Linked DNA regions of Struthio camelus. The protein of the gene in region 3 binds, or shares a complex with, the protein of the main gene of each other region. Links are inferred from orthologs where the notes say so. Each region holds a gene or a part of one and is shown on either strand. Other genes may lie near its edges. The genes, in order: MED21, CCNC, MED25 and MED23.

Region 1 (7,263 bases), on a different chromosome or scaffold from region 3:
TAGGAAGCAAGCTCCAGAATCTGGGGGCTTTGGCCTTTCTTAAGTTTAAGGGATGACATTCTTCAAGACATGGTTAGCACAGAACCCAGGACCACTTGTACCTGGTCCACAAAAAGCAATTAGCTCTCTCTCCTTCAGATATAAACTTGCAGGTAGTGAATACTACCCTATCTCATTTCAGAGAGCATAATACTCCAAACTCATCAGCACCACCGCATCCCTGGTGCCCACCGCAACAAATTAGTCAAGCAAACCTACTTAAGAGTTAAAATGATGGCGTTTGTAGCAATTGAGACTGTGGAGCTGTTCAACCCTCCTCCTTGCTTAAAAAGGGAAGGGGGGGGAGGGTCGAATGAGTTCTCCCCTACCTACTCTTTATGCCAACATCAGCAAAGACTAAGATAACCTTTCTTTTTCCCCTCCTGCCCCCCTCAGCTCTTCAAGCAGCTCTATCTTTGCTTTGATCTTAGCTTAGGCTCAAACCCTGAGCGCCAGGTCCCCGCTGCCTCAGCGCGCCCGGCGCCGCTGCGAGGAGTTCCGGGCAGGGCCGGGCCGGGCCTCTCCCCTCCCGGCCAACGGCCCCGCCATGTCGGCCGCGCTCGCACCGGCGCTGCGCTGCGCTGCGCCCGCTGCCCGGCGCGCACCGACCGCTCCTGCCCACCCGCCTCCGCAGAGGACCCCCGCGGCCGCCATGAGGTGGCCCGCCGCGCCCCCTCACCTGTGGCGGCGGCGGCCGCAGCAGCAACGCCGCGCAGGGCCCCCAGGAGCCCCAGGAGCACCACGGCGCAAGGCGGCAGTCGCATGGCGCTGCGGAGGGAAGCGGAGAGGCGGCTCAGAGCGGGCGAGAGGCGGAGGCGGCGGCGGGAGGCACCGCGGCGCCCGGCCCGCCCCCGAGCCCGCCGTGAGGAGACGCCGCGGGGGGAGGGGCGGCACGGCACGGACCAGCGCGCGGGGGCCGCGGTAACGGTCCTAACCGCCGCCCCCACGGCTCTTTATCTTGCCCGGCCCAACCGCCGCCTCCGGCCCGCTGCTGCTTGGCCAGGCTTCCAGGCTGGGGAGAGGGGGAGGGAGGGGAATCTGTTTTTCTTAAAGCCTCCTTTTTTTTTTTCCTCTCTCTTTTCTTAACGTCCCCGCGGTTTGTTTCGCAGCGCTCTTGTCAAGTGCTGCGGAGCGCTCCCGCACACGGGAAGCGCTCTCGCAGCCGGCCCAGGCGCCTCCGCTTGCGGCCGTGATTCATGCGCACGGGACAGGGGAAGCGGGAGGCAAACTCAAAGTCTTCCCGCTTCTCGCCCTTGCTCTTTGGAGTTCTTGCCAATGCGAAGCTGCTCTCGTGAATATCTGCGCCTCGTTTATGAATTCAGGCAATAACCTAAACCTTGAGCAAGCGTAAGCCGTGCGCCATCACCCTCCCTCCCCTCCCCTCCCCTCCCCAGCTTTAATCCATTTTTCAGTTAACAGAATGTAAAATAAAGCTCTCATTCTGACATCCAACAAACAAAGAGATGCATACTGGTTCATGTTTAAGACTATAGTTATTTCAGTCAAATGGGTGAACTCTCTTCTGCCTACCTTTGCCTAAGGTCCTTCGGAAGGCAGCCTGTCTCAGTAAGGATATCTAGTTTACTGATTTTTTTTTCCTTCTGCCCAACAAGGTTCCTTAGGTCAAAATAAGTAACGTTGAAAGACTGTTAGGTTTAGCGCTTTGCTCTGAGCCACTGTCCGTCAGAGTCGGCGGTGAGACCTCGGCTGTTCTTTGTTCACGGCTCCACGTGCACACTACTTGCCCGTGTCGCAGAGGAACAGAGCCTGAGAGAGGCTTGTCTCATGCCGCGCGCCTCATTTATTCCAGGCTCACGCCAGCATCCGTTCAAATTGTGGAAGTCCAAAAAAAGCCCGTTCATTTCCAAAACAGCTGGAACTCCCTTAAAAATGAGCAGTACTTTTTGCTATACAACATAGCGCTTTGGTGACTTGGCTTTTTAACCAAGGAGTGCGAAGAAAACACGCATCCTAGTTTATGCATGCAGGCCAGCAAAATCAAGGGTGTAAGCCCGACCATATTATTAGAAACACACTTTTGTCAGAGTAGTTAATATGGGGGCAAAGAGGGTAGCTGGGGGAGCCTCAAGAAGATTCCTCCACAGACACATTGCTGCTGGGTGGCTGCACTCGCAGCTTCTCAGAAAAGTTAGTCAGAAGAGACCTCTGGAGGTCTCTAGCTAAACCGCTCACTTGAAGCTAGACTATGGCTGACACCAGATCAGATCAGCCATGGCTTCATCTAGCCAAGTCATACAGACCTTGAAGGCCTGAGAGCACACAGCCTCTCTGCGGGACCTGTCCCAGTGCCGCATTGCCCTCCTCGTGCTGAATAGATTTCCTAATGTTCACCTGGGCCCTCCCAAGGCCATAACCGTGGTCATCAGCAGAGGTCCCTGACTGGGGAAAAGCTAACGTTATACCCATCTTTCAGATAGGTGAGAAGGAAGAACTACAGACCAGCCAGTCAGCCTCACCTCCAGGAGCACATTCCTTCCCTTGGGATCCATTTCCAGTCGGGTGACGGGCACCAAGATAATCAGGAACAGACAGTGAAGATTTACCAAGGGCCAAACATTCTTGAACAACCTGATTGCCTTCTGCAGTTAAATGACTGGGGTGTGGACAAGCAAAGATTAGCAATGTAAAAATACTTAGACTTCAGTAAGGCTTTTGATGTCGTCTCCCACAGCAAAAGTATCAGCCAACTCTTTCAGGCCCTCTGGGTGCTACGCTGGTTATCAGCCACCAACTGGACATCAAACCATTGATTACAAGCTTGGAAGCCCAACGGTCCAGCTGATTTTCAATCCATCTAACAGCCATCTCATCCAGTCCGTACTCCCTGAACTTCCCAGTGAGAATGCTGTGGGAATACCTATATCAGAAGATTTTGTATCACAGACAGGATCATTATCCTGTAAGTTTATCTTTAGCTGTTCAATGACCAAAGCTAAATATCAGCGTACTGACTTGCACAAATTGGTATTTCCTATTTGGTAACCTGCAGGTATAGCAAACTCCTGCTGAATGTAAGCTGGACTGTTGAAGATATTACCACTCCTGGCTTTTTACCGCTCCTGGTCACTCGACATTATCACCTACTCAGCTCAAGTGCTGGAGTGGACCATCAGAGTGCTACTTCTGTCTTTATCCAGAGGCAGAAAGATTGTTGTACAGCAAAAGCTGTACACTTTGTGGCTCACCAGCCTTCTATTGTCAATAATACAAGAATTCAGTTTTTTACCGAACTACAATATCACGTGAGTATGTACTTGTGTCTCGGAGAGAAATAAATTGACTTGAAATGCCAGTTCTATACCGAATAGCACATTTTATAGTGCTTTTTCCTCTTCTGTCTCAGTACTTGCCCCTGTTGAACTACTCATAATACATTCTGGGCCGAGTTCTTGTCCCATTAAAATAAAATGATATTGCTCACCATGACTCTTAATGATACCTGGATTTGCCCTTGGGAACCTGTTCTTTCTAAGGCCCTTGTAACTGAATGCAAATTATCTAGAAGGTTGTAGTCAGCCTCTGGATGCCCCTATAGCTGCTGCTATCCCATGAGATTAGAGACATCTGTTCTGAAGCATTCATCATAGGTAACACTTGTGTTATGATATATTACTGATATGTGCAGAGCTGCTTCTCATTCTTACCATGAAGGCAGCTTAACAAAAATTCACTCCAATTTTTGCTTTCAAGTTACTAACTCAGACTAACCTAACTATGACCCTGATTGTGGGCAGAAGAGAAAGAGACTTGTGGTTATCCAGAAGCTAACAAAGCTGGCAGGACTGTGGACGGGCACGAGGGTCCGCGGGCAGGAAAGGCCCAGGCTAAGGTCCGAGCCTACCTTTCTAAACGTAATTACTTGACGTTGGGGCTGTGGCCGCAGCCCCGCAGAAGCGCCTGCGTTGTCTCTGTACAGCCCAGGCGTGCGTGCGCTGCCTGCCTCCGCACAAGCGGGTCAACAGCTGCAAACTGCACCAAAGGCAAGGAAGCAAAAAGCCTAAGAAAGTGGTTTCCTGCCGTTTTGAAAGGCGGGCTGCCCCGGTTCTTACCGCAGCGCCCCCAGCCCGGCCCCTGCCCCGCCGCAGCGCCGGGCTCCTCCCGGCCTGCAGGGGGCGCGCCAGGCGGCGCCCCCTCCCCCGCCCACCTTCTAACATCGAGGCGTCCCATTGGCTGCGCCGGCTGCCAGGCGCCTTGTCGGGAGGTGGGGGCGGGGGGGTGGCGGCGGCGGCGGCGGCGCTATGGCGGATCGGTTAACGCAGCTGCAGGACGCGGTGAACTCGGTGAGTGCCGCGCCGGGGGCGCCGCTTTCTTCCTTCTCCACCCCCCTCCTTGCTGTCCGCCGCCGCGCCCAGCCGTTGTTGGCCGTTGGGGGCGCGAGCGGGGCGCCTCCCGCTTCCCCCCCCCCGCCCCCGTCAGGGCGCAACAGCCGGCGGCGGCCCCGAGCCCCGGCGGCCCCGCTCGCCCTGGCGGTCGTGGGCTGCGGGTGCGCTCCCGCCTAACCCCGGGGGGCAGCTGTGCTGCCTGAGGGCCGCTGGGATGAAAAATAAGCCTGAAATGTCTTTAGACTGAAGTAATTTAACCCTCTCTTTACTGCCTGTAGCTCGCAGACCAGTTCTGTAACGCCATCGGCGTGTTGCAGCAGTGTGGCCCCCCTGCCTCTTTCAGCAACATTCAGACAGCAATAAACAAAGATCAGCCTGCTAATCCAACAGAAGGCAAGTCTTTATTTCTGGGTCTGCCCGCTCAGGGTGAACACGCTCTGGTACAGTATGCACAGTAATTCAAGATTTGTATTCTATTTTGTGCTTAGCAAGCATTATTCCAGCAGTAACTGGAGGAGTGATTCAGGTCAAATCATAAATTGATGTCAGCTGCACGTGCTGTATAAGAATTTTGTGTGTTAACTGAGTGTTGAAAAGCATTTCTTGTGCAGATACAGTAAGCCTTCAGATATAATAGGACTTTAATAGGACAGCTGTGAGATGCTTTTACTGACTTGTCCGTTATTTTGAAAATTTGTTTTTGAGAATGAGTGTAATTTTTATCAAATAATGCATGAGTTTAAAACTTTCCGTTTACAGTTTTAACTTTTCCTGTGTTTCTTCAGGCGTTGTCTGCTTATCTAATTGATTAAATAATACTACCTTGTTAAATCGCCCTCTTGGCATTTGGGGTTGGGGGTGGTGCTGAGAGAAAAGGATCTAATCTATGGCATTGCAACTGGAAAGCAGACTAAAAGACAGTTCTCTCCTCAATCTGAGAATTTAAAGTTAGTAATCAAATAAGCATGTTATTCTAATCCTGGGTACCTTTCAATGCTTCTGTGGATGTTCTGGTCAAAGCATTTTGCTAAATGATGATTTCTTTTTTGGCTGCTGTGTATTTTCCTGAGAAAATTTGCATGTATCTTGTATCAGATTAGATTTGACTATTGGGATATCAGGGGAGACTGGTTTGGAGCACAGTGATGCTCTTTTCAGGACAGCTGTTGTCTCATCCTTCATTGGTTTGCTCTCTGGTGTGGGAATTAGTTGGAGAAGGTAGCCGAAAGGTTGGCTCGCTTCCTCACGTCACTAGCTGCTGTCCCAGGTACTAAGTATCAACATGACGACTTTGGAGCTCAGAGGTTTGTTAAGGTCTTAAAATCATAGTCCATGATCATCTTTTGTTTTGTCTTGTCCTGAAGCTCTGAATAAAGTGAATTCAGTAAAATCGTACAGCCAAGTTAGCGATGCTGATCAGACCAGACTAAACTACTAGTTGCATGTCTTCAGATAGCTAAAGTCTTGATAAGAAGGCCTTAAAAGCATATAGAACACTTGTTTACAGGCCAAGAGTATATATGGGATGACACTGAGCAAGCTTTAATGATATGTGTTTTGTTTTGTTTTTTAATTAAAGTCAAGTCTACCTCTGAGAATGTCAATCTCTGCTATAGATCTTACCATTAGAAAATATTTTGTCTTGCTGCATGAAAGATCTTTGGAAGCAATCAACATAAAATGTGTAAGATCTTAAGCTATAAGCTAAGGAGGGATGTCTGAATATTTTAGCTAGAGTTATGAACTTCCAAGTCAAACTCAAGGTGATTTTCTGCCTTATAGGGCTTCTTTGGAAGAACTGTATGCACTTTTAATATGATTTTTGTAGCCAAAATAAGATCTATTACAAACTTGTCTCTTTTTCCTTTCTCCGTGACAATTAACTTTTCCTCTGGCTGATCTTTTTTCTTCTTCAAAAAATCTTCTCAGATTCTTTCACTAATGGTCTGTTCCTTGACATAATAACTTACTCTGTGCATTTGAATCTCTATTACTATTTTCATGTAATTTCTAGTGTTCTTATATATAGTGGCAGATTTGAAGGCAAAGATTGAAAGGTTAAATGAGTTGCTAGCTATTTCTGAATACTTAATGTAGCGACTAGGACACTTGATACCTTTCACTAGTAATTTCTGAAGTGGCTAACCATGATGGAGTTCTAGCTATTTTCTCATTTCTTAAAAGAAGCAGTGCAAGGAGAAATGTTAACACTTGAATGCTTCAGATCTTTTTAATATTCTGTACTCCATATGCAGAATTGTGCTTATTTCTAATAATGTATCGAGTAGGCTGATATTTATTTATTTATTTTTAAGAATACGCCCAACTGTTTGCAGCACTGATTGCACGAACTGCAAAGGATATCGATGTTCTAATAGATTCCTTGCCTAGCGAGGAATCGACAGCTGCTTTGCAGGTAAGAGCATTCTTAATTAAACTATCAAAACATAACTGAAGACAGCTTACTTGCTTTCTTTCAGCACACTTTCTTACTCTTCAGACCATGTAATTTTGAAAAATGGCTTCAATGTAAGCCTGAATTTTTCATGAGGTTAGACGATGAATTCTGTGTAGGCTCACTGGAAATCCTGCTTCTTGCATCTAGTTCTTAATTAAATTCTACGCAGTGTGAATATTTTAAACTTATTTTTCTCTTAGAAGGGTTTCAAAAAAAAATCTGCTTTTTGATAACATCACAGTATTCTAAGCAGCTATGTGTTTTTTTCCAGCTTTTCAAATACTAATACAGCAGATGCAACATTGGCTTTTTTTCTTGGATAACCTTTCATATTCTTCTGCCCATTAGATGTTTTGTTTTGTATCTGCAGAGTCAATGTTTTATTGAAGCCTTATGTTCTCCTACAACGTTACTAACTGTTAA
Region 2 (7,721 bases), on a different chromosome or scaffold from region 3:
AAATAAAGGGTTTCAGATTTTTTTTTAAAAAACGTTGCTTTAAATTCAAATGTTTTTTGAGTAGCCTGTAACACAAACATTACGACTCCTGCACTCAGTCAAAAAGGGAAATCAATTAATTGGCTTTTCAGCCAAAACCTCTATTAAAAACTCTGTGATCCAAACAGAAAAGTCAGCATGAATTTCCTCCTTTGAACTATTTCAGAAGATGACAATTTTCCTTCTCTACAGTTTTAACAGTTCAAGTAGTCGTATATAGTCATACAACCAGTCGGTGACCTACAGCAACCATTTTCAAATGCGGACAAAGCAGGAAGCTGCTTTTCTCCAGGTAATTTCCTGGTTGCTTTGGGGAGAGACTGTCTCCTGGAGGCAGACGCAGGTTGAACGTGGCAAGCCACGGTCATAGCTAATGCAGGGGTGGGAGAAAAGAGGGAAAAAAGCTCTTTACGTTCAAAGCCGAGTGCTGAATTTGGGGGCAGGTGGCGAGATATAACACATATTGAGGGCTCGAGCAAAGCAAGCACTGCATGAGCTCCCACTGCTACACAGGAGCTCCAGGCTGTCCCCTCCGTGAAGGTGCCTCTCTCTGCCACAGAAGGGTTGACAGCCCAGTGCCACTCTCTCCTCCAGGGTATGCTGTGTTGGTCCACGCACAAGGGAGATGCTCGCAGAGCTATGCTCCAGCTGCCACGGGCCATGCAATGTACCCTCAGGAGAGGCAAGGAGTGCCAGAGGAAAAGGAGCTTGTCAACCACAAAGTGAAACCGACTCGTCTACTTTCTAAACCTTTGTTTACTCAATAAAAATACTGAAATGAAACATGAAAAATGGCAAAAGGTATTTTATGTTTCATAATTCAAATTAATACTAGTGAAAATTAACATAGAAATATCATTTAAGAACTGTCACTATCCCATTTATTCTTTTGGCATTATGAAGCTAAGATACCTTGTTTTATCCTCAATAAACTTCAGAAATCAATCAAATAGATAAATCATTGGTTGCTTGATTTTCTGGTGCTGTACAAGTGAACACAGACCTAAAAACAGTGATCAGATTTGCATCATACTTGATCATTACAAAAAAAGCTAAGCTAAGAGAGAGGCTGGGATAAGTATTTTTCAGTTATAATCCATCACCAACATAAGATCTTTCAATAGCCTTGGGAAAGCCACTTAACTTTTCTGCCTCAAGTATGTTTGACCAATCTGATTTCCGCCAATAAAGCTATTCATATGGTCAAATGGTTTCTAGGACCTAGTCTCAGATAACTGCGCAGAGACAAGCCCGAAACTCTCTAGGAGAACAGGCTGCTGACAGCTCTCAGTCTTGTAGAAAGTATCCAGCCACTTGAGAGCCACTGAGTGCTGGGGAACCAGTCATGAGGCCACAGGCTGTGGAGCGGGTTTCAAAGAGCGTAACTGAACACAACTGACAAGTTTGCAAGCTATTTAGCAAGACTCCATGGACCAGCTAAAACACTATGACTTAAGAGCTCATCAAAAAAGCTCAAGGCCCACAGTTTGAGTACTACTGCTTAACACAGTGTCTCCAATTTGCTACTTCAGTAGTTTCTGTTGGCTTCCTCTCCTTTTATTTTTTTCATAAGAGCCTCTTGGAAATAAAAAAATCTACTATTTGTCCTCTCATAAATTAGAAAAAAAAGACATACGCAGCTAATTCATCTATAAATTATCCTAAAGATGCATTAATACAACTAATCTGAATGACAACGCTATTGATATTCCAGCCCTTCATTAAAATATGTTAGGAAAACATATGTAATACAACAATGAAAACATTGCATTCTCTAAGCAGTTAAAACTTGCACGAAGACACGGCAAATACTATATAGATTACATGGCTGAACTAAAAATAAAACAGTTTTACCATTAGTAAAAAATATCTGTAGTTTCCAATATTCTTCTTCAGTAAGAAATTTCAAGTCTTTTTGGCGTTCCTTCAATAGATCTTGTTTATCCAAAATCCATTGTAAACTAAAGAGAGAGAAAATAATTTTAGCAACTCTTTATGAACATCATATTAAGCATCGCCTGTACAAACGACAACAGACTACAGCTTAGGCCTAAAGGGCACGCGGCCTTTAAACAAACCGTGTACGTTCTTCCCAAGCAAATACTCACTAGCTTTTCCCAAGGTAGATATCCAAAAAAAAAAAAAAAAAAACACTAGCAGGGACCAAGAAGATCACTCCTTACCCGCAGCAAACTAAACCGCAACACAGTGAACGGCATTAAGACGTGCGCTACCAATCACTTGTGAATTTTAAGCTATATTTAGTGCACCTCGGGCATCCATTCAAAACTCAACCTACCCAGCACAAGGCACCTTGCCACAGCGCAACCCTGGCCGCCCTAGCGCTGCAGACAGACACCGGCCCGCAAGACCTCGGCGCTCCTCGCTCGCAGCAGCGGGGGCCGCGCACTGGGCACCAGGCCCACGCGGACACAAACGCTGCTTCTGCGGGGCACGGGTGGCCTCCTCCGCGCCCCGAAGAGGCCCCAGATACGGCAAAAGGCCCTCCCGAGCCATTTAAACGGCCCTATTTCTACTGATTGCTATGGCCATTACCCTCCTTAAATTATTCACCGCTATTATACTAGCCCTCTCGGCAGCGATACACCCCGGTTTGCGTGGGCGCTCAGCACCGCCCGGCCCCGCACTCCCCTACGCCCCGGCCCCGGCCCCGGCCGCGGCGAACAAAGCCGGCCCGGCGCAGCCGCCCGCCCGGCCCGCAGCCCCCCAGCGGCCCGGTTACCCACTAGTGCGAGCTCTGCCAGAAGTTCCCGGCCATGAGGAGGAGGAGGAGAGCGGAGGCGCCCCGGGCCCGCGATCCCGCCGGCCCCGCCGCGCCGCGCCGCCTCCCCCGCGCCGGCAGCAGGAAGGAGGCGGCCGCCGCCGCCGCCGCCGCCGCCGCCGACCGGCAACACGCGGCGCAGGGAAGCCGTTCCCCTGCACGCAGGTTCCGCCCGGCCGCGGCAGGGCCCCGGGCGCCAGCGGCGTTGGCCTTGGCGGCGGCCCGGCGCCCTGCCTGCCCCCCGGCCCGCCTCGGGGGAGGGGGCCGCCGCCGCCCGCCCTGCCCCGCCGCTGCCCCTCGCCCGCGCCGCCTCCTCCCGGCGGCGCCGAGCCCTGGTTGCTGACGGGCGGCGGCGGGATTTGGGGCCTGTGAGGAGCCACCGTCGTGACCTTCATTGCCAAAATGCACTTATTCACCGTTTGGTTGCATGTGTCATCTTCTGCGCTGTCACGAAACTACCAAGCCGGGGGTGGGGGGAGGAGGGGAGAGTCTTCACCAGATGGCAAGGCCCAAACGTTCGTCCTCGCCATCACCCCTAAGGACCCTTCCCAGCCAAGCAAAGCCCCGACCAAGGTGCTCTTTCCTCAGGTTTTCCCCCTTCTTCCTCCCCACATGGAGAGGCTGCAGACAGCGGGAAGGCGCCCCGCGCCCCGCGCGCGTTGCTGGAAGGCGACCCCAAGGCGAGGAGGCGCCCCGCGCCACCGGGGCTCGGCCCGGCCGGCGGCCCCTGGCCCAGGCTTCGTCTCCGCCGACCGGCCCAAGTCGCCGAGGCTCTTGGCCCCGCCGATTCCCCCAAGAATGAAGAAAACCTACCGAGGCAAAAAGCGTCCGTTGTAAAGAAACTCCCGGTTTCATTCTCTGGTGTTTTAGAACTTGATTATTCGTCTTTTAACGGCAGGACTTCTATTACAAGGGAGCCTGCTCCCCAACCAATCCTTGATGCAAATCACCGCTTATGGCACTCTGAAGACTTGCAGTGTGGGGAGCAATTCTCCAGAGACAATACGTCCATTATAATTGATTTTACAGTTACACGTAGTTGCATTCTGGTGGCTTAGCCTTGAAAAGTGAGCCTCTGAAATAGCATTGCGCTAGCCTGTATTTATTGTTTCTTAATAACTTACCTCTCCTGTGCCAGATTCACAGTTGCACAAAAGTTTCTGTTGCTGCTCTAGCAATAAAAAATACCATACAGTTTGCCTAAATGGGGAGGGAATAATAGTCAGGTAAGGTTTGAATCTACAGCGCGCTGGCTAATTCCATGCTAACTCGCTCTGCGGAGACTCTTAAAAGGCTGTTGGTCAATGGCCAGTTTATACAGAATACATTCCAGATTCAGTATTGCAAACACTTACATCTTCAGGATGGCACAAGCAACGACGTTGTTAGTAAAATTCAGAGGTACCGTTTATACAAAGAAAGAATGCTATTTCTGTGGAAAGCAGAGGAGCACAGCCATTATGTAACACTGGAGAGCGCCAAAATGGATACTCAGAGGTACCTATTTACGTGATGTGTGAAACAGAACAATGCGAGTTTCTTTGCGTTTCCTACACCATCCTTGACAAAATTCTCCATCTTTATTTTGACATATAGTTCAACGCTGCTAATGACTAGATATGGAGTCTCTGTTTTGAAATTCAGTAGAATCACCGCACCTTGCTTTCAAAAACGGCTTAGTGGAACCAAAATGCATTCTGTCACAATTAAATACTTAGCAAGCATCCCTTGATATGGCGTGGTTGCCTCACGGCACATTCTGGACGCGAAAGATTTACTTTGCCTAAAAAGGGTTTACCCTGCATACCTTAGTTTGTGATGCTCTAACTTCCCCAGATAGACAAGTCACTGAAAGGGTGGCAGTAGCTCTTTGAAATTCTTCCTTTTAAAAAAAACGCTTTCCTGCATGGTGTTCTTGTGGTGTCTGGATTCTGTACTAGTCTGCTCCCAATTTCTCGTGTGTCTAGAGATGGACATTATAAAGGTTGGTCCAGACAGTGCCGGCAGTGCATTACTGGCCCTTGTTTCTGTTCGCACAAGCTCAGAGGGTATGCTGAAAAGGACAGCACGTGCTGGAATAACCCTGAACCTTCTTTAATTTATTTTAAAGGCTAAGCAAACTCTTGTGTGACAGCAGGGTATGATCATAAAAGACAGCTTGTTACCATTTGACTGCTTCTGTCCTAAAAATGGGAAAACTGAAAGAACAGAACCCTCACCTACTCAGTTTAAGCATGGTGGGTTTTCCAGTTTTAGAAACTAGCTAGTTTTGCACATAAGCTTCTTTCTGTGCATAACTACAGTCCGTGGTCAGGCACTTGAAAGAAGTCCTGTGCTTTAGAGGACTGAGCCCTCTCTCATAAGACAGTGTTTCTTGAATTGGCTTGGTGCTACAGATCCTATTTGACAGTAACTGATAAGTAATAGCTGCACTTTGAAATAGCAGGTTAAATAAAACTGCTTTATGGATGATAAGTAAATAACTAAAGCCACTTATTTCTCTTGTGTTGTCCCCACTGCACTTAAATTTCCCTTTATCTTACCCATTCCCAGAGTTGCAGGACTCTGCTTGCTCTGTGCTGGGGAGCAGCTATGCAGGCAAACGTCTGAAGTCGTTTAGGGAGAATCTGGGCCTAAATCCTTTGCTTCCTTTTCATGTTCTTTATTGTGATGATACATGAAACAGGGCTCCCCACTTTTAAATGGGATCTGAGATGTCCTCTGCTGTATACAGTTGGGAAGACAGCATCAAACCAGGAGTTGTAGATCCCTGTACCTACATAACAGCACAAAGAGGGTGGAGGATAAGGTCCGAGAGAGAGGGAGGGCGGATGCCTCTCCGTTTCTTCAAGCAGTACTACCACTAGGGGAAGTATACCTGATTTTTGCAGTGAGACCAGTGAAAAAACTGCCTATTTATAACGGCTGAAGGGAACGTAGCTGAATACCAGTAGAATCAGCAGAAGCACACAGCCACCTAGGGACCCAGAATAAGGTTGCTGTGACTCATGCTGTTACAGTCCAAGTATCTATATTTCTATCACACTTTTCCTAAAAGCTAGCTCAAAATTTCTGTGTGTGTTTGGGGGCGGGGAGGCGGGAAGAACATAAGGAAAGAGGTCATTAACACTTGGGTTGTGACAAGTTTCAGACATTTTTAGAGTAGTGACATAGCACAAGGCAAGGTGGTAGGACGCTGTGAATACAGGAGTGCTATACGTTGACTCACAGACTGAGGCATGTGAAAAGGAGAGCTTGAAACTTGGTCAGCGACAGCAGTCGAGGGTCTATAGGTAAACAAAAGGGTTAGCCAATGCTGGCATGCTGTGTGGAAAAGCTGCTGGAGGACTACCAAGATATTTTATAGTTTACTGGTAGCTTTGATGTTAAATTGCTGTTAGTTTATAATGAATTTATAAATCAAGTCCGAGGAATTAAATCTCTCGGACACCTCACCATCTGCACAGATCAATGAGGTTGTACAGCAGTTAACCAGTCCTGTACACAAATTCAAGATTACCTGGCAATAACGGTCGCAGGGTTGATTTTCATACTGCTTATGCCAATTCAGTACAGGGGCAATTCCATTAACTTCAGTGACTGTGTGGTCCCGGTGTAAACTGGGGCAACGTGAGCTCCCTCTTCCTCTGTGTGTCAGCCGTGCCAAGGTCCGAAGCACGCAGGAGGGTCGACAGCCATGGGCCGGACCCCATAGCGCTCGCCGCCTGGGACTATGCCCCGGCCCCGGAAGGGTTAAGTAAGTCACTCCTGAATGCCTTGCCCACTTCCATACCCTCCACTGCAAAATCAACATCTAACTTAGTTATCCCTGATGGAGACTCTTACAAGGCAGAATCTAGATCCAGCATTTTGGAGGTTATTTCCTTTCCCTCCTAATATAGAGGCATATATGTATGCATACACTCTTATACATAGATGAGCAAGCATATGTATTTATTCATCCTGCAAGCCTAATTGTCAGGGCTGAATGTGGGTCGGAAAAAGGCTGCCGAGCCACTAGACAGAAAGACAGCTGGCAGCTGGCAACCCTCCCGGGAGAGCTGCTGCCTCATGGCCTTCCCATTCCCCCGGGAGCCGCAGCCGGTGGCTCAGGCCAATTCCTGCACCCACAAAAGTTAGCAGAGTTTCTGTCGCTGGTCACAGTGGGAGCAAGAAGCGCTCCTACAGGGCACTGCCTTGGCAAGGTGAAGTAACTCCTGGCTTATCCTGTGAGGAAGACTGTGCTCGGTGCTCATGGTTGTCAAGACCTGCGAGCACATGCAGACTATTTTTGCTTGGTCTGACAAAACCAATTTGTTCTAAGATGTAAGCATGCCTTGGCTGTCTGCAAGCAGTGTACTGTGTGAAGAGCAGGCCACTTGCTCCCTAGGGGTCCTCCTCAGAGTGGGCAAACTCTCTCCGGCTCCGTCCACCACTTCAGACATCTCCCTCAGCTGCATCTGTCTGAACTGAGAGGCTGTTTTCAGAGCCACAAGTAAAGATCTCTGCAAGGCAGCCAACAAAGCCATCACCAATAATGAAGGAAAAGGCTCCATTCAGCAGAATTTAGCGTAGGAATTGTGAACGTATTCAATGAGCAAATCATTGAAAGTATAACAACTGTAGTTCCTTTCTAGGCATCTCTTGGTATATGTGCATATATATGTGCATATATATGTGTGTGTGTATGTGTGTGTGTCTCTCTCTTTCTCTCTCTATATATGGCATTGTGCTAGGCAAAGGTGTGCCTAGAGGGATGTAAGTATATAAGTGTGTATATCCGTATGTACACACATATATAGGCATACATACATGTGTAGGGGGACCTGAATGCTATCTTGATGCTGTCATGAAAGAGATGCTCTGTGAATCTCTCTCTCTCTCTGTCCCTGCAGCATAC
Region 3 (7,588 bases):
CATTTGCCCCCCCAGACCCCCCTTTTGCCCCCCCAGGCCCCCATTTACCCCCCCAGACCCCCATTTGCCCCCCCAGACCCCCCTTTTGCCCCCCCAGGCCCCCATTTACCCCCCCAGACCCCCATTTGCCCCCCCAGACCCCCCTTTTGCCCCCCCAGGCCCCCTATTTACCCCCCATAGTTGCCCCCCACCCCATATTTGCCCCCCGACCCCCCTTTATTTGCCCTCCCCCGGGCCCCCAGCCCCATAATTGCCCCCCCAGCCCCATATTTGCCCCCCCAGCCCCATAACTGCCCCCCCAGCCCCATAGTTGCCCCCCCGGTGCCCCCCCCCCCGCACCCGCAGGTCCCGCTTGAGCCGCTCCACGTTGCGGACGGGCACCAGCTCCTCCAGGCCCAGCACCAGCACCTGCGCGGGGGGCACTGGGAGCGACTGGGAGCGACTGGGAGGGGCACTGGGGGGCACTGCGGGGAACTGGGGGGCACTGGGGGGCACTGGGAGCGACTGGGAGGCACTGGGGGGGCACTGGGGGGTACTGGAAGGGGCACTGGGGGGCACTGGGAGTGACTTGGGGCACTGGGAGGCACTGGGGGCGCACTAGGGGGTACTGGAAGGGGCACTGGGGGAACTGGGAGTGACTTGGGGCACTGCAGGGCACTGGGAGGCACTGGGAGGCACTGGGGGGTCCTAGGAGCAACTCGGGGCACTGGGAGCCACTGGGGGGGCACTGGGAGGGATTGGGGAATACTGGGGGGGCACTGGGGGGAACTGGGGACACTGGGAGGCACTGGGGGGCAGTGGGGGGCACTGGGAGGAACTGGGGGGCACTGGGAGGCAATGGGGGGCACTGGGGGGCACTGGGAACACTGGGGGGCACTGGGGGAACTGGGGGAACTGGGAGGAACTGGGGACACTGGGAGGCACTGGGGGGGGCACTGGGGGGAACTGGGTGCACTGGGAACACTGGGGGGCACTGGGAGGGATTGGGGAATACTGGGGGGGGCACTGGGGGGAACTGGGGACACTGGGAGGCACTGGGGGGCAGTGGGGGGCACTGGGAGGAACTGGGGGGCACTGGGAGGCAATGGGGGGCACTGGGAACACTGGGGGGCACTGGGGGAACTGGGGGAACTGGGAGGAACTGGGGACACTGGGAGGCACTGGGGGGTACTGGGGGGCACTGGGTGCACTGGGGGAACTGGGGGGCACTGGGGGGAACTGGGTGCACTGGGGGGCACTGGGAGGAACCGGGGTGTACTGGGGTGCACTGGGGGGCACTGGGGGAACTGGGGGGAACTGGGGGGAACTGGGAGGCACTGGGGGGCACTGGGAGGAACCGGGGTGTACTGGGGGGCACTGGGTGCACTGGGGGGCACTGGGGGAACTGGGGGGAACTGGGAGGCACTGGGGGGCACTGGGAGGAACCGGGGTGTACTGGGGGGCACTGGGTGCACTGGGGGGCACTGGGGGAACTGGGGGGAACTGGGAGGCAGTGGGGGGCACTGGGAGGAACCGGGGTGTACTGGGGGGCACTGGGTGCACTGGGGGGCACTGGGAGGAACCAGGGTGTACTGGGGGGCACTGGGTGCACTGGGGGGAACTGGGAGGCAGTGGGGGGCACTGGGGGCACTGGGGGGAACTGGGAGGCACTGGGGGCACTGGGGGCACTGGGGGGCACTGGGCCGCTCACCATGGCGCTGAAGACGGCGTCGAGGAGCCGCCCCAGAGCCGCCTCGGAGGCGCCGGGCTCGGAGCTCAGGGCGATCAGCGTCACGCTGTGGGGCGCCCCCCGGCGTCACCCCCGGCGTCACCCCCGGTGTCACCCCACGGTGTCACCCGCCCCGGCGTCACCCCCCGGCGTCACCCCCAGTGTCACCCCCCGGTGTCACCCGCCCCCCGGCGTCACGGAGCTCAGGGCGATCAGCGTCACGCTGTGGGGCGCCCCACGGCGTCACCCCCGGTGTCACCCCTGGTGTCACCCGGCCCTTGGCGTCACCCCCACCGTCACCCGCCCCATGGTGTCACCCGCCCCGGCGTCACCCCCCGGCGTCACCCGCCCCCCGGCGTCACGGAGCTCAGGGTGATCAGCGTCACGCTGTGGGGCGCCCCACGGCATCACCCCCGGTGTCACCCGCCCCACGGTGTCACCCACCAGCGTCACCCGCCCCACGGCATCACCCACTGGCATCACCCACCCCATAGACCCCCCCCCAGATCCTCTCAAGCCAGATCCTCAGCTCCCCCCAGCCCCCCAACCTGCCCCTCAACCCACCATGGCAGCCCCCCAACTTGCCCCCCAGCCCCCCAACCTGCCCCCCCCGGTCCCCCAACCAGCCCTCCAGCCCGTCCCCCCCAGCCCCCCAGGCTGCTCCCCCGGCCCCCCAATCTGCTGCCCGGCCCCCCAACCTGCCCTCCAGCCCCCCAACCTGCTCCCCCAGCCCCCCAACCTGCCCTCCAGCCCCCCAACCTGCTCCCCCAGCCCCCCAACGTGCCCCCCCAGCCCCCCCAGCCCCCCGACCTGTCGTGGTAGCCCCGCCAGGCCACGCGGGCGCCCTCGGCGCTGGCCCCCCGCAGCCCCACGGCCAGGTTGGCCCCGAACATGTGCACGCCGTTGAGGGAGCCGATGAGCGAGAAGGGCAGCTGGGGGGGGGGGGGGGGGCGGGGTCAGCGCCCGGACGCCTGGGCCCCCCCGGACACCTGGGCCCCGACCTGGACACCTGGGCCCCTCCCGGACACCTGGGTCCCTCCCGGACGCCTGGGCCCCTCCCGGACACCTGGGTTCCTCCCGGACACCTGGGCCCCTCCCGGACACCTGGGTCCCTCCCGGACACCTGGGTCCCTCCCCGGACACCTGGGCCCCTCCCCGGACACCTGGGCCCCCCCAGACACCTGGGTCCCTCCCCAGACGCCTGGGCCCCCCCGGACGCCTGGGTCCCTCCCGGACGCCTGGGCCCCTCCTGGACACCTGGGTCCCTCCCCGATGCCTGGGCCCCTCCCGGACACCTGGGTCCCCCCCGGACACCTGGGTCCCTCCCCGATGCCTGGGCCCCTCCCGGACACCTGGGCCCCTCCCCGATGCCTGGGCCCCTCCCGGACACCTGGGTCCCTCCCGGACGCCTGGGCCCCTTCCCAGACGCCTGGGTCCCCCTGGATGCCTGGGTCCCTCCTGGACACCTGGGTCCCCCCCGGACACCTGGGTCCCTCCCCGATGCCTGGGCCCCTCCCGGACACCTGGGTCCCTCCCCGATGCCTGGGCCCCTCCCGGACACCTGGGCTCCCCCCGGATGCCTGGGTCCCTCCCGGACGCCTGGGCCCCTTCCCAGACGCCTGGGTCCCCCTGGATGCCTGGGTCCCTCCCGGACACCTGGGCCCCTCCCGGACGCCTGGGCCCCTCCCAGCTGCCTGGGCCCCTCCCGGACACCTGGGCCCCCGGATAGCTGGGTCCATCCCTGGACACCTGGGCCCCTCCCGGACGCCTGGGCCCCCCGGGGGGGGCGGAGCTCCTCACCTGTTGCCGGGCGGGGCCGCCCCGGGAGCGGCAGAAGAGGGGCACCCCGCTGCTGGCCGCCAGGCAGAGCAGGGACAGGGCCCCGCCCCCCTCTGCCATGGCCCCGCCCCCTCTCGCCCGAGCCCCGCCCTCTCCACCAGGCCCCGCCCCTCCCCTCAGGCCCTCTTTGCCTGGCTCCACCCCCTCAAGGCCCTGCCCTCCCCTACAAGCCCCGCCCCAATGCCCCACCCTGTCAGGCTCCGCCCTCCCCTACAAGCCCCACCCCTAAGGCACCGCCCTGTCAGGCTCCACCCTCCTCTATAGGCCCCACCCAATTCCCCACCCTGTCAGGCTCCGCCCTCCCCTACAGGCCCCGCCCCAATGCCCCACCCTGTCAGGCTCCACCCTCCCCTACAAGCCCCACCCCTAAGGCACTGCCCTGTCAGGCTCCACCCTCCTCTATAGGCCCCACCCAATTCCCCACCCTGTCAGGCTCCGCCCTCCCCTACAGGCCCCGCCCCAATGCCCCACCCTGTCAGGCTCCACCCTCCCCTACAAGCCCCACCCCTAAGGCACTGCCCTGTCAGGCTCCACCCTCCTCTATAGGCCCCACCCAATTCCCCACCCTGTCAGGCTCCGCCCTCCCCTACAGGCCCCGCCCCAATGCCCCACCCTGTCAGGCTCCACCCTCCCCTACAAGCCCCACCCCTAAGGCACTGCCCTGTCAGGCTCCACCCTCCTCTATAGGCCCCACCCAATTCCCCACCCTGTCAGACTCCGCCCTCCCCTACAGGCCCCGCCCCAGACCCCTCAGGCCCCGCCTATCCCTCAGGCTCCGCCCCCTCAGGCCCCACCCCCTCCAGCCCGGCCCTGTCACTCAGGCCGTACCCGGCCCCCTTCCCCCCTCCTCCCCCCACTGCCGCTGAGGCCCCGCCCCCGCGCCCCGCCCCCGCTCTTGGCCCCGCCCCCGGTGCCGGTGCCGGTGCCGGTGCCGCCGCTCAGGCCCCGCCGGCCGCCGCCATGTCCGGCGCGCTGGCGCCGCGCGGCGCCTGCCGGGAGCGAAGCGGTTGCCGCGGCGACGGCGGGGGAGGCGGGGCCAGGGCTCGCCCCGCCCCTCCCTCCCCGCGCATGCGCGGCGGCGGCGGGCGGACCGGAAGGGGAGCAGTTCCGGCAGCCGCCGGCTCGCGCCGAAGAGGAAGTGGACGGTACGGTGGCCGGCGGGGGGGGTCTATGGGTGCCGGGGGGGGGTCGAGTCGAGGGGGTCTATGGGTGCCGGGGGGGTCTAGAGGGGTTGAGGGGGCCCATGGGTGCTTGGGGGGGTCTAGAGGGGTTGAGGGGGGTCTATGGGTGCCGGGGGGGTCTAGAGGGGTCTAGGGGACCCATGGGTGCTTGGGGGGGGTCTGTGGGGGTTGAGGGGGCCCATGGGTGCCGGGGGGGTCTAGAGGGGTTGAGGGGGGTCTATGGGTGCCGGGGGGGTCTAGCAGGGTCTAGGGGGCCCATGGGTGCTTGGGGGGGTCTAGAGGGGTTGAGGGGGGTCTATGGGTGCCGGGGGGGTCTAGAGGGGTCTAGGGGGCCCATGGGTGCTTGGGGGGAGTCTGTGGGGGTTGAGGGGGGTCTATGGGTGCCGGGGGGGTCTGTGGGGGTTGAGGGGGCCCATGGGTGCTTGGGGGGTCTAGGGGGGTTGAGGGGGCTCATGGGTGCTTGGGGGGGGGTCTGTGGGGGTTGAGGGGGCCCATGGGTGCCGGGGGGGCCGAGGGGGTCTGTGGGTGCCAGGGGTGGTTGAGAGGGTCTATGGGTGCCGGGTGGGGTCGAGGGGGGCCCATGGGTGCTGAGTGGCTATATGGGGGTCGAGGGGGTCTGTGGGTGCCCGCTGGGGTTGAGGGGGGGCTTATGGGGATCTATAGGTGCCAGGGGAGGTCAAAGGGGTCCTATGGGTGCTGGGGGGGGTCTGTGGGGGTTGAGGGGGCCCATGGGTGCTGGGGGGGGGTTCTATGGGGGGTTGAGGGGGCCCATGGGTGCCGGGGGGGTTCTTTGGGGGGGTTGAGGGGGTCCATGGGTGCCGGGGGGGTTCTATGGGGGCTGAGGGGGTCTTTGGGTGCCCACTGGGGTCGAGGGGGGGGTTATGGGGATCTATAGGTACTAGGGGAGGTCAAAGGGGTCCTATGGGTGCCAGGGGGGGGTCTGTGGGGGTGGAAGAGTCTATGGATGCCGGGGGGGGGTCAAGGGGGACCCACGGGTGCTGGCGGGGTCTGTGTGGGTCGAGGGGGTCTATGGGTGCCAGGGAGGGTTCATGGGTGCTAGGGGTGTCGAGGGGGGCCCATTGGGGTCGAGCGGGTGTATAGGTGGAAGGGGGGTCTATGGGCCTTGAGAGGGTCTATAGGTGCTGGGGGGGGGTCCATAGGGGTCTAGGGGGGACTATGGGTGGGGGTTCTATGGGGGTTAAGGGGGTCTATAGGTGCCGGGGGAGTTGGGGGTCCATGGGGGTTGAGGGGCACCTATGGGTGTCGGGGGCACCTATGGGTCCTAGGGGGGTCCCTGGGGGCTGAGGGCGGCTCATGGGTGCTGGGGAGGGTTAAGGGGGCCCCATGGGTGCTGGGGGGGGGAGAGGAGGACTGAGGGGAGTCCATGGGTGCCGGGGCGGGGGGGGCCTCACACGTCAGGCGAGAACTGTGGGTAGAAGAGAGTTTGGGGGGGGGCACGTGGGTGTCGGGGAGGGTCCCATGGGTGCTGTCCTTTTCCCCCCCCCCCCGCCAGCACCCGCGGGGGCCATGGTGGTGCCGGCGCTGGAGCCCCCCCCCGCCATGGTGGCCGACGTGGTGTTCGTGGTGGAGGGCACGGCCAACCTGGGCCCCCACTTCGAGGCCCTGCGCAAGCACTACCTGCTGCCCGCCATCGAGTGAGCCCCCCCCCCCCCCAAAAAACCTGCACCCCCCCCCAACACCCTGGGGACCCCCTCGAAACTTTGGGTGCCCCCCCGAAACCCCGCGGACCCCCCTGAAGTCTCTAGGACCTTCCTAAACTCCGGGAATTGCCCCCAAAACTCTTGCTGCTTCCAGGGGGCTCCAAATTTTGGGGAGCCCCCCCCACAAAAAGCTCGGGGCCACCCCAAATCCCAAGAGATCCCCCCTCTCAAAACCCAGGGGGGGTCCCCAAAGCCCTTTGAGCCCCCCCCAAAACCTTGAGGGCCCCCCAAAAAACCTTGGGGACCCCTCAAAACCTTGTAGGTGCCCCCAACCCCAGGTTTCCCCCCCTTAAACCTTTGGGGCCCCCCCAACTCCTAAAGGATCCATCCAAAATGATGGAAAGTTCCCCAAAACTTGCTTGCATCCCTTGAGGATCCCCCCAAGCCCCCTAGGGACCCCCCAAAACTTCTAAGATTCCCCCCAAACCCTTAGGGACCCCCCAAAACTCCTCAGGGCCGGCCCAAACCCCTGGGGACCTTCTACAACCCCCCCTTGAAACCCCCTCAATTTCTTGGGGATCCTCCCAACATTCTTGGCCCTCCCCACCCTCAGGGCCCCCCAAACCTCAGGGACCCCCCTCAAAAACACCTGGAGCCCCCCCAAACCCCATGATGCCCCCCAAAATCCTCTAGAATCTCCCCCGAACCCCTGAGAACCCCCCCAAACCACTCACCCCCCCGAATATTTGGGGCCCCCCAAACACCAAGGACCCCCCCAAAGTGTCTGGGGATCCCCTTAAACCCTGAGGACCCCCCAAAACCTCCAACACCCAAGGACCCCCCCCAAAAATGGAGGTTCCCCTGCAACCGTCTCCTGCTACAGGTACTTCAACGGGGGACCCCCGGCCGAGACCGACTTCGGGGGTGACGTGAGTAAAGGGGGGGCGAGGGCAGGGATTTGGGGGTGGGGGGTGGTCGGGGACCCCCTCTTGGTGGGGTGTGTCACCCCTGGGACGTGGTGCGTCACCCGCTGGGTGTCCCGGGGTGGGGGGTAGTTTGGGGGTACGCAGTACAGCCTGGTGGTGTTCAACGCGGTGGACTGTGCCCCTGGCTCCCGGTGTCCCCCGCGCCCCTGGAGCGGTGCGTCCCCCCCCGCACGGTGCGTCACCCCCGGGACGCGGTGCGTCACCCGCTGGGTG
Region 4 (7,177 bases), on a different chromosome or scaffold from region 3:
CTTTTTCAGTCACTGAACTGTGAATTTAAGTGACTGCTCCGCGTAGAGTCTGGCATACTATGCAAACGCAGGTCTAGGGAACAGATGCATCCCTTGCCCTACTTACAGTCCAAATCGCAGTCCTCGGTAAATCTGGCATGCTCAGAAACAGGAAAACTATTTAGAACAACACAGGCAGGACATCGCTGTCATATATGTGTTAATCTGCAGTTTGGGGAAACAAGTAGAAAGACCTAATGTAGCACTGTGTTGTAGCCAGTTTCAATTTCCACTATACTTCCTGTCGTTTTAAGCTACTAAACATAAATTACAGCAACTGAAAGTGTTTGAAGACCATCAAGAACCAGATAGGCTTCAGGTATCCTCCTCATAAATTAAAAGGCACCTTCATATTCTTTTGTTATCCCTCTTCCAAAAGGAATGGAACTCACACAAGAAAGGAAAGAAATCTTAACCATTTCTCGCATAAATGTTTACCATTCTTAAACAAATGGTGATTGGTTTTCTGCCTGAATAAAGGACTGAAATACCAACTAGGCTGTATACAGAGAGATACTCGTTATTCCACACGCACTTTGCATCTTTCATGAATTCTCTTGAAGGCCAAATTATTTTATTTCAGTAAAAATCCTGACTTAAAGACTTCGTACATCTTACATTCCACAACAGCATTTGAAGTCTGTGGTATCATAAAACAGCAGATGAAATTGCCATGTTCCATTTCTGGATCATACAACTTAACACACAGGGAACTGTGGCAATTTCACTAAGGCTCTAGCCTACACAGTTTTACCTGTGACTTACCTGCTGCTTTCACTTATTATATTAAATATGTGTAGGATACGGCACAGTCCCAAAAAATGTGCGGTCTGTGCAGAATGATGTCGTTACAACATTCAAACAGTTCAGTACCCTGTCTCATAGACAATACTTACTGAACCTATTTTGGATTGGTTTCAATCAAAAGGAAAATTCAAAAGCTTGCATTTAAAAGGCGGAGATCTTGGAAGGGAGCACAAGATGAACTGGTTTCATATCCAAAAAATGCCAAATAGTCTTATCTGATGTTCTGAAACATACCAGTATGCTTTACTGCTGCCTACAGATTAATTTTATTAATATAAAAGGTCAGAATGATAATAAAAATCAATTAATTAAAGTCCACTTAGATGCCAAAAATGAGGTGTTGGTTGTTGAATAAATGAATGCTAGTTTTGCTCGGAAAAAGAAGTGATACTGTATCAATTAGCCAGAGGAACATTTAAATTAAAGACTAACCCAATAGCTGGAGTGGATGAATAACTTCCTTGTTATACTTGTGAAGCAATTGTACAACGTTGCTTGTCAGAATGTTTGCTCAATTTTTTTATAATCATTTTGAAATGTATATTTTCTTTTCTCTCTCTGGATTAAGAGGGTCATTTCTTTCTCACGTAAAAGTTTCTTGATCTTCCTTGTCTGGTCAGGCCTAAGGCTTTACGTTATCTAATAAACACAGTTTGACAGGGCTTCATTGCTTGGCAGAGGCACCTAAGAGTCACCTCAGTGCTTAAGATCTGTACTGTTTCTTCTCTTTGATATTCGGTTCCCTCAGACATAGCAGGACCATCATTACTTAGGTCTGACTAGGTAGCGTCTCAGAGCCTCGGTCCTACCTCAGTGATCAGATCCTAACCAGAGCCTAAGGCATGGTTAAAAATGGTTGTGGTCTGTGAGTGTGACCTAATACTAATGCAGATGAAAGTAAGAATAGTAGATTGGTCCCCAAGATAAGATATAATGCTAAGTAAAACAGCACCTTCAGGGCTCCATTACGAGTCATTTGGGGGAATGGACAGACAATTTGGCAGAGAATTAAGAGCATACACTGTTCTGAATGTTGCTATTTTGATAAATAACGATCCAGTCCGTCCCGTGTGGGCAAGTGCTGTGTCTGGAAGTTGCAGTGACATCCAAGTGCACGTCAGATCTCTGTGCAACACACTTTAAATAAGCACAGAGTGAGTGTAAGGAATGACAGTTCTTACCAGAATACGTGTTTTTCTGTTAAGGCCAGCTGGCAATCCAATTACAAAAGTGATACAAACAAGTGTAAAGGGACCTTCAATCAGATCCTTTCTCTGTTTCCAGTGATCATTCATTTTACGTATATGTAGGTAAAAAGCTTACAAGCACACACAGTTTGTTTCCCAACCTGGTATTTCCCATTACAGACAATAATACACTAATTGATTCAGTTATGCATATTACTATTGGCTACAACATGCATCTCTGCTAGCAGTGTAATTCCTGGTGCCACTCATAGCACAATTTCCTGAAAATTTTTATTTTTAAAATTTATTTATAACATCTCAGTGCTTACATTATCTATTCTTCTGGGACTGTTTACACCAAAGCTGTTTACATTTAGAATAAATAATTTATCCAATTCAATGTGAGGTTTTGGTCTGTGGGTACATCCTGCTATATTCCACTCAATTCAAATCTGGAAATTTTCATTTCTCACTGCTCTGAGGCCTTCAAGTATCAGCTAGAATTTGGGAAGATTAGTTTTATTCTGCTGTAGACATAAGCCTGTATCTAGTTATCAGTGCTAGCTGAATTCAGGTTCAGTGCTGTTTCAGGAGACTACGCAGTCAAAATGGTCATAGACAGAGAGGTCAGAAAATACAACGTCAAAGAGCTACAAGATTTTAAAAATATTTTGCTTTGGTAATTACATTTATTTTTAATCTAAAACGCACTACATATATACGATGTATTATCAAACACTTTCAAATAAAAACCTTTTGAGTTTATTCTAACTTTTTTAATGGGAATGAGTAATTCTGACTTTATATTAATTACAGCAAACTACTGTCCTGTAATAATGTAAGGGCTCCTTACTGAAAGGAAGGACCACAACGTGTATTTTGTCAAGTTATTCTAAAACCAAAGAAGCCTAAGTAAAAAATTTGCATGGAATTTACTGTGGTATTTCTTCCCTCTTCTGCAACTACATGGCTTTACAATCCCCTCTTCCCTCTTTCTTTTATTCCTCATTCTCTTATTCTCTTTTTAGATTCTGCAAAGACTCAGAGAGGATGGGGGGGGGGGGTGCGTGCAGCTGTTCCTACAAAATGGAAGAGGCAGCAGTATATATGCCCACACTGAGCTGTCTTTTCACTTCCTCAGCAGCCATGACATCTCCAGTGCTTACAGTAATTTCTCTTCTGATAAATAAAACAAAATAAAATAAAAGCACGCGGGTCACAAAGCCACGCTGGCCGCTTGCCATACAGACCCAATACATGGGTACTGCCAAACGCAGTTGGACGCAGCACTGAAGCCCCATCAGCGGCCTGGCGTGGGCCTGAAACGTTGAGCCCGGAGGAGGTTTAAGTTCGGGAAGTGGTTTTAAAGGGTTTGGGCAGCCAAGGCCTGTTAGGAAAGCTGCTGGGACAGCCGGTGTTGCAACGAGGCTGCAGGCGCCAGCTGGACGCGAAAGGCCGGAGCTGCCTGACGGGTTCGGACGCCCCGGCCGCCGCCTACGGGCGGAGCGCTGCGCCTCCCCACGGGCGGGCGGGCCCGGCCCGGCCCCGGCCAGCCTCGTCCACGCCATCTGGGCCGCAGATAGGCCCCGCAGCCGCCGCCCCCAACGGCCGCGGCGGCCGTTATCCGCCCTCGCGCCCCCTTCCGCGCCGCAGGAAGCTGAGGGGGGAGGGGGCGGAACGCTTTCGCCGCCGGAACCGCCTCGCCGAGAAGTCGGTTTCCGGGGGGGGGGGGGGAAGGGGAAGGGTTTGGGCACGGAGCTTCCGGCGCGGGGGAGGGGAGGCTGCGCCGCCGTCCCGCCTGACAAAGGCCGCGGCCGTGGGCTGCGCCGCCCGGCTCGGCGCGGTCCGGCTCGGGCGGCGGCGGCGCCGCCATGGCGATCCCCATGGTGCCCATGGAGACCCAGCTACAGAGCATCTTCGAGGAGGTGGTGGTGAGTCCGCCGCCGGCCTGCCGCCAGCGGGGAGGAGGGGCGCGGGCCGCCGGCGTTGTCGTGGCCCGGCCCAGGCGCGGGGGAGGGCGGAGAGGGGTGTCCGCAGCTGCCGGCCCGACGGGCGGGAGCCCGTGAGGCCCTGCGGCCCCCTGCGCGGCCCGGCCCGGCCCGGCGCGGGCCCCCGGGCGGGGCGTGTCGGGCCCCCTAGGGGCGGTGCATCTTGCCGGGTGTAAAACATGGAAAAACAGGTCTCCAGCGTCGCGGTGTTTGCGTTGATGCAGTCGCTGTGTCCTCACCTCTGCGCGGTGAGTCGCCGCCGTCGTGCTCGTGCTGTCGGGCCCGTCGCGAGATGTGCCCTGCGGAGCCGTAGAGGGAGAGAGTTTCTTGAAGCACACATTTCTCGCCTGGTGTGTCTTTATAGTGTGCCCGAGTCCGACACAGGGTAGAATCGGGCATGATATAGGTGGGAGGTAGGTTGCTTACCCAAAGCCGAACTATGACGTGTTGAATTCGCTTTAAAATAAGCGTGGTTTAAGTTGGCATTAAGAAGAGACTATGAGAAAATGAGTGTCTTGAGAAGGTGCTTTTCTTAAATAAATGGAATGACTTGAGGGAATCCTGGAAATGAGCCTCACAGTGGCACCAACAACACAAAGCATGGTCCAGCAGATCGAGAAGTCATCGTTTTGTATACTATAAATAGCTAAAATGTCTGAGTAGCACGTTACTACAAGTTTGTGTCTAGTACAGTGGTGCTTGGGAGGGGCAAGACTAGCCAGCAGTGGAGTAGAGAAGAGGAAAATGAGTAGTACTATGAATCAGGCAGGTGATCCCACTGGCAATTTTTGGTAGATTTGAGTACTTGGTGGCTAGTAGTGTTATGGTCAGAAGCCCTGGCCTGTCAGTAGCTTATAAGTACTTGAATGGGAGCTTCAAACTGACTAAGACAAGAAAATCTGGTGGAACTGGCTATATTTGAACAATAAATGTGTAGGCCTGCTAGACAAGACTGAACTGATAACAAAGTCCAAAAGTTTAATTTCAATAGATGAAAGGCTGTGTTTCTTCTTTTTCTTTTGCATATATGTTCTATCCTTTATAGAGAAGGATATCATGCAATTTATAATGTTAAGTTGCCCATACTTGATGAGTTTTTTGGGCACTGTCATTCAGATTATGCTTTCACGTGTTTAACTTTGTAATTTGACTATGTTGTCACTGTTTGTGATTGTCTCGAACAGCAACAAAAAAAGTCCCTGAAAAACTTTCATTGCCTCTTCTGAGAGGCTGATGGGGTTGTTTTGTTTTATTTATTCTGGTTTGAGATTATGTTTATTACCCTAGTCAGGTAAAATGATTAACTATTGAATCTAAATGTGACTGTTGGTGATACTGAACACCTCTCTTGTGTTCCCGGCTTTTTTAAAGCCATAACTGAGAACATAGGAAGTTGTAACTTTCACTGTTGCTGTTACCAGCTTTGCAGACAATAGTGAAACTCACTTAACTTTCTGTGCAGAACAGATTAGTATCAGGTTCCCTTTTGCTTCTTGAGAAAGCTATAAGTAGCAGAGGCAGTTAGTTTGAGGCTTTACAACTGAGAAGAATCACTGGAAAGATTGTTTTATTACTTGTTGTTACCTCTAGCACGTAAGGATGAAAATATGTGTGGGTTATAGACATCACATCGCAGTATAATACAGAATGCCTAAAGAAGGCAAAAAAACCTATAGAGTAGTGTTTTCCAGAGCTCTTTTTTGATAAATTAGAATAATGATGTAGAAACCTTTGAGCAAAATGGCATATAAAAATGAATGTTATAGAGGAGGTAAATTAGGTGTTTGTATATAGTCTTTCTCACAGGACAAGACCTTATGATCATTAAATAGAAATTTAAAAAGCAATGGATCTAAACTAAGAAGGGGAAGCAACTCTCTGCATAATTGGTTTATGTAACCCAGTGTGACAGAACATAACTGAGACAAAAAATTTAATCCTATCCACATCTGAATCCTATTCAGAATAGGTTTCATTCCTTAAAATATGAAAGACAAGCCACAATTACACAATTGAATAATTTCTCCAATATTGGGATATAATTAATTTTTAGGTTTTTAAAAGAAAAGAAGAAAGAGCCTTAATGTAGAACCTCAAAATGTTACATAAAAACAAAGCAGTTTCAACTTCTAAAGAGTCAAGCCTAGCAAAAACATAAATCTGCCTCAAGGCCTTCTGATACAGCCCCGTAACAGTAGAACTGTTACTCTCTAGTGCTTTATCCTGGTGGCACAGCACTCCCAACAGATCTTTTCACAATAGGCTCACTGAGGGTTTTTCTCTTACAGAAAACAGAAGTAATTGAGGAAGCTTTCCCTGGGTAAGTATAATGACAGTTTATTTATGCATGATTTTCTGTGTAATTATATTTTCTACTTGTGCTCTTTTGTTGGTGAACTGCTAATAACTAATGTTCTCATTTGCATTAGTATGTTTATGGACACTCCTGAAGATGAGAGAACCAAACTGATCAGCTGCTTGGGTGCTTTTAGACAGTTCTGGAGCAGTCTTTCCCAGGTTACCTTTTAATTTGTTGTCTGTATAGATGCACTTTTATAATGTGGCAGCACCTTGTCTGGTAGACAAGCACTTAACCTATAAAGTCCGTTTCCTGTCACTCAGAATCTGATTTCAGATGTGGCACAATATAGAATATAAAAAGACTTTGCAAGAAAAAAGGTTTTTTACATCAATAAGATTATATAGCTGCTTAGAAAATGTTGCTATGCAGTCCTTATAAAGATAACCGAATGGAAGTAGAACAGTCATTTTTTTAAAAAAAGGTAATTTTTCATAGAATTTCTGGTAGAGGTGAATGTAGAAAACAGATATGTTTAATGAAAAACACTGTTTATATGTAAAGTTTGCCTTCCAAAAATTAGATACCTGTAGGCATTCTTCTTGTAGTTGGAGACCTGGTCATCCTCATTTTCAGTGAATTTGATTATAACTGTGAAAAGGAAGGAATAATGCAGAATAGAGGTCTATTTTATTCTACTCTGTGCTGAAAAATTTACATGTGAAAAACAAAACTGACTCGAAAAATCCTCATTTCAGCTATGAGGTGTGACTTCAGAAGGAATTATTTCAGATGTCCTATTAAAATAAGATCAAAAGACTTGTGGAAAACTGGATGTTAGGGAGTTGGACTCCTCA

What was found.
Region 1: MED25 (region 3) and MED21 share a complex: the UniProt entries of both Homo sapiens proteins name them as parts of the mediator complex. The link is inferred for Struthio camelus from reciprocal best matches to the Homo sapiens genes MED25 and MED21.
Region 2: MED25 (region 3) and CCNC share a complex: the UniProt entries of both Homo sapiens proteins name them as parts of the mediator complex. The link is inferred for Struthio camelus from reciprocal best matches to the Homo sapiens genes MED25 and CCNC.
Region 4: MED25 (region 3) and MED23 share a complex: the UniProt entries of both Homo sapiens proteins name them as parts of the mediator complex. The link is inferred for Struthio camelus from reciprocal best matches to the Homo sapiens genes MED25 and MED23.

What each region holds. Positions count from the first base shown.
Region 1 is NC_090942.1:77,129,169-77,136,431, forward strand, and holds the start of MED21 (mediator of RNA polymerase II transcription subunit 21), read left to right. Parts: upstream 1-4,259; 5' UTR 4,260-4,298; coding exon 4,299-4,340; intron 4,341-4,660; coding exon 4,661-4,775; intron 4,776-6,697; coding exon 6,698-6,798; intron 6,799-7,263. Other genes in the region: TM7SF3 (transmembrane 7 superfamily member 3), read right to left, coding at 719-803. UniProt on the Homo sapiens protein: Component of the Mediator complex, a coactivator involved in the regulated transcription of nearly all RNA polymerase II-dependent genes.
Region 2 is NC_090944.1:54,823,389-54,831,109, forward strand, and holds the start of CCNC (cyclin-C), read right to left. Parts: upstream 3,001-7,721; 5' UTR 2,819-3,000; coding exon 2,787-2,818; exon of another isoform or gene 2,783-2,786; intron 2,001-2,782; coding exon 1,894-2,000; intron 1-1,893. UniProt on the Homo sapiens protein: Component of the Mediator complex, a coactivator involved in regulated gene transcription of nearly all RNA polymerase II-dependent genes.
Region 3 is NW_027182651.1:76,222-83,809, forward strand, and holds the start of MED25 (mediator of RNA polymerase II transcription subunit 25), read left to right. Parts: upstream 1-4,572; 5' UTR 4,573-4,692; intron 4,693-6,241; 5' UTR 6,242-6,255; coding exon 6,256-6,383; intron 6,384-7,272; coding exon 7,273-7,318; intron 7,319-7,588. Other genes in the region: FUZ (protein fuzzy homolog), read right to left, coding at 340-408, 1,691-1,775, 2,519-2,640, 3,509-3,607. UniProt on the Homo sapiens protein: Component of the Mediator complex, a coactivator involved in the regulated transcription of nearly all RNA polymerase II-dependent genes.
Region 4 is NC_090944.1:71,468,286-71,475,462, reverse strand, and holds the start of MED23 (mediator of RNA polymerase II transcription subunit 23), read left to right. Parts: upstream 1-4,162; 5' UTR 4,163-4,200; coding exon 4,201-4,269; exon of another isoform or gene 4,270-4,434; intron 4,435-6,309; coding exon 6,310-6,341; intron 6,342-6,450; coding exon 6,451-6,538; intron 6,539-7,177. UniProt on the Homo sapiens protein: Required for transcriptional activation subsequent to the assembly of the pre-initiation complex. Component of the Mediator complex, a coactivator involved in the regulated transcription of nearly all RNA polymerase II-dependent genes.